Rattus norvegicus: one gene and its partner. The protein of the gene in region 2 interacts with the protein of the main gene of each other region in a pairwise test. Links are inferred from orthologs where the notes say so. Each region holds a gene or a part of one and is shown on either strand. Other genes may lie near its edges.

The links. The genes of interacting proteins can lie anywhere in the genome.
Region 1: the proteins of Snca (region 2) and Sdf4 interact in a two-hybrid assay, tested with the Homo sapiens proteins (2 studies listed by BioGRID and IntAct). The link is inferred for Rattus norvegicus from reciprocal best matches to the Homo sapiens genes SNCA and SDF4.

Annotation. Positions count from the first base shown.
Region 1 is NC_086023.1:171,871,857-171,875,505, reverse strand, and holds part of Sdf4 (45 kDa calcium-binding protein), read right to left. Parts: intron 3,192-3,649; coding exon 2,862-3,191; intron 1-2,861. UniProt on the Homo sapiens protein: May regulate calcium-dependent activities in the endoplasmic reticulum lumen or post-ER compartment. Isoform 5 may be involved in the exocytosis of zymogens by pancreatic acini.
Region 2 is NC_086022.1:91,123,775-91,127,523, forward strand, and holds the start of Snca (alpha-synuclein), read right to left. Parts: upstream 2,542-3,749; 5' UTR 2,404-2,541; intron 1,287-2,403; 5' UTR 1,261-1,286; coding exon 1,140-1,260; intron 1-1,139. UniProt on the Homo sapiens protein: Neuronal protein that plays several roles in synaptic activity such as regulation of synaptic vesicle trafficking and subsequent neurotransmitter release.

The DNA.
Region 1 (3,649 bases), on a different chromosome or scaffold from region 2:
GGAAAATTGTATAAATTGTATGGGAGCAGTTAAGTCAGGAGCTGCTACTTAAGGACAAAATAGATCATCACTGGGAAGAGACTTTCCCACTTGAGATACGATGGATGGAATTAAAACCCTTTGTTCATTTATTTATTTAGTTTAGTTTAATTTTTCAAAATAGGGTTTCTCTATGTAGCCCAGTCCTATAGAGCAAGCTGACCTTGAACTCAGAGACACACCTGCCTCTGCTTCCTGAGTGCTGAGATTAAAGGCACTACCATACCTGGCTCATAACCCTTCTAATCATAGCAGTTCACATACCTCAGCTAAACCACACAAGCACCTTCACAGGCAACAAATGTATAACAAAGTCCCTTTGGAAACCTAACATTTTGCCCAAGAACAGAACCCAGGTCTTAGTGACAGAGATCTTGGGATTTAGGGATAGATTACAGGAACTCCAAAACTAAACACACTTAGTAGAGTGAGTATCAGAAAGAATCTGCATCAAAACTAATAAAATGGCTCAGCGAGAAAAGGCCCTGCCACCAAGCCTGACGATCTGAGTTTTATGCCAGGAAATCACATGGTAGAAGAGAAGAGCCAGGTAAGCTGCCCTCTATTTCCATTCTCTCTCTCTCTCTCTCTCTCTCTCTCTCTCTCTCTCTCTCTCTCTCTCACACACACACACACACACACACACACACGCGCGCGCGCACACACACACACACACACACACACACAGAGAGAGAGAGAGAGAGAGAGAGAGAGAGAGAGAGAGAGAGAATAAATTTTTACTGCTGTGAACAGACACCATGACCAAGTCTTATAAAGAAAAACATTTAATTGGGGCTGGCTTACAGGCTCAGAGGTTCAGTCCATCATCATCCAGGCAGGCATGGTGCAGGAGGAGCTGAGAGACCTACATCTTCATCTGAAGGCTGCTAGTGGAAGACTGGCTTCCAGACAGTTAGGACAGGGTATTAAACCCACGCCCACAGTGACACGCCTACCCCCAAAAGGCCACACCTCCCACCAGTGCCAGCCCTGGGCCAAGCACATACAAAACGTCAGTCTGCCCACCTAAATCCTAACTCAGAAAGATGCAACTTCCTGCTTTTGTTTTCTTCTGTCTCTTTCTTTTGGATGCTCAGAACCTAGGAATGCTTTTTCGGAATCTCTGAACCTCCTTACTAGTTTTCCAAGGCCCCTTCTGTTTTGTGTAGTTTAAAAACCTACCACCTTCTGGGGAGCTGTAGAGCTAATACAGCCCCTCCCAGCTCATTTTTGCTCCACTGCGTCCTTATCAATTATCTCCGACTCTCCTTCTGCCCTAAACTTAACGGCTCATTCCATCTAGCCCCTGCCAAACATCCTTGGCCACTCGCATAGAGGCAGCCACAAGCCCTAGCTCTCGCTAAGGTCTTACATGATTATTACATCCTTCTTCCTCCAAAACATGACAAAAAGCCCCTCTCCTCCCTTACGTCTGCCTTTTTTCTTCCTGGGACTCAGAAGTCCCACCTATACCTTCTGCCCAACAATTGGTCACCAGTATTCTTTATTGACAAATCAAGGACCAATTGAGAAACAAGGTTAACATCAGAACCTCTCCTTACACCTTTCCTCCTTGTTCTGTGGCTGCCTGCTGCCATGTGGCAGACCTCAATGCCAGTGACTCAGATGGCCTTTTTCCTTCCTTGCATGTTCTGCTTCAGGGTCAGGCTTAGGGCAACTGCTGAGATTACAGCTTGTCCTCCCTGAGTTATTTTTCCAGAAACCTTTATCCTAGCACTGAGAAAGCAGAAAAGGAGCCAGCTGTAATGGTACACATTTTTAACCCCAGGATTTGGGAAATAGAGGCCTGCTGGTCTATATAGCAAATTCTAGGATAGCCAGGGCTATTTAATAGAGAGATCATGTCTCAAAAAAACCACAATGCAAGCAAGCAAGTGGACAAGCAAGCAGACAAGTAGAATTAGATAGACCAGTTGTGAGTTCAAGGCCAGCCAGGGCTACACAGTGAGATCTTATCTCAGAGGAAAAGAAAGGAAGGAGGGAGGGTAGGGACCCAAGCAAACCAGCCTGTGTCCTCCTCCCCCATCAGCTCTTAACTTATTGATTTGTTAGACCTTTTCCTAGGCAGCCCTGGGCCAGCCCTCCTCTACCTGAAATTATAACCTGCTAAGACCACTTTACTTTCGCTTGGCCTGACTTTATGCTTTTCAACTGATAGTCTAGTTCGAACAGTAGTGCACAACAAAGTCCTTGAGAGGTAGGGCAGGGGCAGAAGTTTATTCTGAGGCCTTCCTGGCCATGAGGGCTTGGGCATAGCTAAGCAGCCTAGCTTATCTTATCGAAGTACAAGGTACTAAAATGTGGTTTTCAACCTTCCTAACACTGCAACCCTTTAGTACAGTCCTCATGCTGTGGTGACCCCCAACCATACATTATCTACCTTCCTAACACTGCAACCCTTTAGTACAGTCCTCATGCTGTGGTGACCCCCAACCATACATTATCTACCTTCCTAACACTGCAACCCTTTAGTACAGTCCTCATGCTGTGGTGACCCCCAACCATACATTATCAACCTTCCTAACACTGCAACCCTTTAGTACAGTTCCTCATGCTGTGGTGACCCCCAACCATACATTATCATCTTTGTTGCTACTTCATAACTGTAATTTTGCTGCTATGAATCACAATGTAAATATCTGTGTTTTCCGATGGTCTTAGGCAACCCCTGTGAAAGAGTCACTCATCCCCAAAGGAGTCATGACTCTGCTGTGCTAGAAGAATACTAGGGCAACTAAATTATCATCTCGAATGCTGAGTCCCTTAGCATGCATTTGCAGGGGACATTATGAGACACTTACTTGGAAAAGATGACCATTAGCTTCCTCCTGCTTCTCCGTGGCTCTGAGTCCTCATCAAACCCATCCATGTCCTTTCCCAGGAAAACCTCCTGATGGAAGTCCTTATTGAGGTGTCCATCCATCTCCAGCTTCACCCCATTCAAGTGGTCTGGGGGTATGATCTCATTTTCATCCCTGTTGGCTGCTCTTTCCCGAGAAAATGAGTGGTTGGCAGGTCTAGCAGTTGCATCCATCAGAAGGACAAGGCCCAAGAACCAGAGGCCATGAGCAGCCAGACCACAGAGGGACCTCTGCCTGGACGTCATTGCCGCCAGCCAGACCACGGGACTCCTGCAAGGTGTGAACCAAGAGCTGGAGTCAGAGGTAGCAGCAAGGGAGAAAGGAAGGTTCTGGGTTACTAGCACTGCCAAGAAAGCTGAAGGCTGATGGCAGGCTCCACAACCTGGTAAGTCTACAAAGAAGACAGACCAGGCCAGGCTAGGTTTTGCTACTTTGTGAGTTCTTCTTTTTCCCATCCTTTATCCCCTCTGGTTTCACTAGACAGGAGAAAAAGGAGGAGAGAGGGGTGAGAAAAAGAGATCTCTGAATCTAATTTCTTTCTTCTTTGAGCACCACTACTAACAAACCATAACCAACCCCCTGAACAACCACCAATCACACCTCTCGGGGCCCTAGCATTTACATATCCTCTGAAAAGTTCCCAGAATTCCAAATGTCACACAATAGCAGAAACTATCTGCAGCTGGTAAAACCTTGCCTGTGCTAGAGCACGAGGCAAATCAGTCAGC
Region 2 (3,749 bases):
CTCAATTGGTACTCTGGGTAGCATCTCTGTCACTTTTGTCACCTGTCCTGCACCTTTTCAGTCTGAATGTTTATCCTAGGTCTTCTACCAAGGTAGATGTACTCCTAAGAAGGTGGAAACAGGTGCTCAAAAAAGGAAAGAGAGGTCAATGAACCCTGCAACTGTGCTCCCATGTGCACGGGGCCTCTGCTGCACATGAGGGTGTATGCATGTGTGTCTGTTCCTCCCATCCTAGTATTGGAAGGGATTTGTAAAGTTAGAGCCAATCTAACACAGAGAAAAGATAAAGGAAGTGTTGGCCTCTCTTTCAAGGTATACTGTCAGGCAAAATGGCACTATCAACCTCTTACTGTTCCCCGTATGCATGATCTCGGACAGGTGAACTGCACAAATCTTTTTGGGGTTCCTTGAGCTCCTGCATCCACACCAACGAAGTGATCCCTAAAGGGAGACATGCTGAGGCAGACTTGCTTTCCTTTTCTTTTGGGGGCCAAAGTATTTGTATTTTCACTACATGCAAAATCATGCAAAAGTCTTGTTTTAAACATTGTAATTCGCTAAACTTAATATTAACTATAGTGATGATGAAAGAAATCAAAGTCCCAGAGTACTTGCAGCTTGTTTTTTTTAAGTTGTTTGTTTGTTTTTGTTGTTTGGGTTTTGTTGTTGTTGTTGTTGTTGTTGTTGTTGTTGTTGTTGTTCTGGAGTCTCACATAGCCCAGACTGACATCAAACACACTGGTAGCTGACAGATGATCACCAACTCCTGATCTTTGGGCCTGCACTTCCCAAACCCTGGCATCACAGATATGTGCCACCAAGCTTGCTGCCATAAATGTCTTTGATTCATAAGCACATTCTTGGTTGTTTTTCATGGGTTGACAATTTTAAAAATTCAGTGTAATCATGCACAAGATTGTAGAAAAACAAATAAAAACCCTACATAAATGACAAAATTAATTATTCTAAGGAAAGAAAGCACTGTCCCTGTTTGTTTCTGAGAGTTAATATGCAGGTTCGGTTCGCGTTCTCTCACCTCCCCATAGCTGTCACTCTGTCAGCTGAGAAGCTGTGATGCGCACGAATCAGACAGCACACAGCAGTCACCCTGATTCATTAGTCACAGTGTCACTACCTACCTACATAGAGGACGCCCTCTTTTGTCTTCCCAGCTGCCTCTGCCACACCCTGCTTGGTTTTCTCAGCAGCAGCCACAACTCCCTCCTTGGCCTTTGAAAGTCCTTTCATGAACACATCCATGGCTAAAGATGTATCTTTGCTCCACACTAGAGAATACAGAATACATTTTGAATTAGAAATTTTGGGGTAAAAGAAAGCAAGGTTTAAAACAGCTAGAGAAAGAAATGAAATTGAGGCGAAAGAAATCACAAAAAAAAAAAAAAAGTATATGCCTCCCACCCCTCCTGCCTCATCCTGGTGTGAGATTTTTTTTTTTTTTTTGAGGACTGGGCACAGTGTTGATTGATTGTGAGCAGTTCACTCAACACTAGTAAAAAGTCATGCCACTTAAGAATGTGATGGATCCAGATGGATCACTTGGCTGTTCTCACACATTTCAGGAGTTACTGAAGAGGAGACGGACTTCCTCTACCCCATCAAGTTCCCATGGCCCAAAGGAGACATTCGAAGTAAAAAGACTATCTGGAAAAAGAACTGAAGGGTGAGGGAGCAGAGGTGGAATAGGGGCAAGAGGGAAAAAAGACGTAGAGAGGAGTCGTCAATCTTTGGAGAAGGAAGGGAGGGGAACTGTTTAATCCAGAAGTAGGGAACTGGAGACCAACTGCCTTCAGCCCAGTCTTTCTAACCTAGCAAGACCTTCCACCCACCACTAGCTAGTTGCTGGCTATCTGCCCAGAGCAGGCGCTGGCTGTCCATGCACTTGAGCATTATCACTTGAGCACCACCCAACCATGAAGCTCTGTCCTCAGCTGGAATCCTCTAGAAGACCCTGCACCCTGTGCTCATTAACCCCTTATCACCTGTTGCCTACTGTCCTCTGCACTTCTATTAATCACTGGCCAAATGCACCCTTCTTCCGCTATAGAAGGAAGATGAAATGCCCTGGGGCTGGAGTATAAAAGTTGGATGCTCAAATTCCACCCAATGCCCAGCACTCAGCTTCCAGCATCCAGCATCCAACATGAAACACCCTAGCGTTTCCGCTTGAAAAAAGCAGATGCCACAGGCAACCTGGCCTTTCCCTCGGGCTTTGAGAGGATGGCAGGGCACGTCTCCAACGGAAGGAAAACCGAGTGATGTACTTTCCAGTCACTGACTCTGTCCCCACGGCCAAGGTAGCCATAGTCTGTCTCCTCTAGGCGTCCAGGTTGTTAGCTAGGGCTCTCCAAGATCCCCAGAGCTACTGCATCTACAGGTACTTACCGGCTCTCTAGGCTTCCGCAGAACTCTGATTCCTCCTGTTTTCCCCAATCTAATTTCAATGCAAGAGGGGTGAAAGGCTCTGGGCTGAGGGGCAAGGGCAGGGGGAGCACCTGCTGGTCTCCTGCCGTCTGCTGCCGGGCGCTCTGGCTCCCTGGCTCCTTCACGTCGCCCCCGCAGCTGATTTGTCAGCTCCTCTCCCCGCCCCTCGCCTGCCTCGTGCCTTCGCTCGTTTTCCTAGGGAGGGGACGGGATGGCGGTGCGTGAGGGCTGTGGGTACCGGGAGCACGCTCCCCAGGAGGAGGGAAGAGAGGGTAGCCTGAGTTTCACCTCGAGTTCAGGGGGCCTTCGGTTTTATCGTGGCTGAACTTGAGCTGGCCTCTTTCCTATCTCATCCCCTTCTTCCCTGCCTCAGCCTGTTCTCGGTTCCTCTAGGCGACCCCCCTCCTCCGGACGAGCCGGGAAGCGGACACCAGAGGACTGAACCGCCTGAAATGATCTGTGTGCGGAGCCAGGCGAGGGGAGGGAGCACACACCCTTCGGGTTGCTTTTGTTCACACAGCCTGAGAATTCCATTTGTTTTAACCCCGAAGGAGTCTAAAAAGGTTCTTCTGGGTGTGAAGGGGAGCCGACTAAGGAAGAGTTACAGGTCGAGGAGGCAGGGGGAGGCTCAGCAAATCCTCTTTCCCACTCCACTATCACCATTTTCGTTTCCACCAATCAGCGGCTGCCAGACGCTGATTTTTTTTTCCCCCATCTGTGGAGCAAGGAATAAATAAACCCCAACCGTCGAAAACCAGCTGCCTAAAGGCTTTTTTGCACTTGAAAAAGTGGCTTACTATTGAGAACCCTGTTACAGGATTGGAAGGTAGCTCCTGTGGGATTCACCCTCTGGGACCATCGCAGGCAGTTTCTTCCTACTTAATGGCAGACTTTGCACACCTCTTACCTTTCCGACTTCTGGCTGCATGGAGTTCCAGCTAACAGACCTTTCTTCCAAGCCCAGCAGACAGGCAGATGGATGCACAGGCTTCGAGACAATTTCTGTGCTACTTAACACATTTTCATTTCTTTCTGAGATGAGCAGAATATCGCTGTTTGATAGCTGAGTAGATTTGAGTGCCAAGCTCCTCCCCCAGCCTTGCTTTTCTTGTATTCTGGACTTGTACTGGGCACTGTAAGCTAAACCAAGCTTTTACTGTATTTAAAAAAAAAGTAGAAGGGAAAATGTTTTCTCTGACCTTTGCAGTCAGTTGATTTCTGAATCCTGAAAAGTAAATAAATAAACAAATAAAAAGTTGAAATCTTAAAAAGCATTTTGAAATAAGGGGCAAGCAATTGTTTTTGAC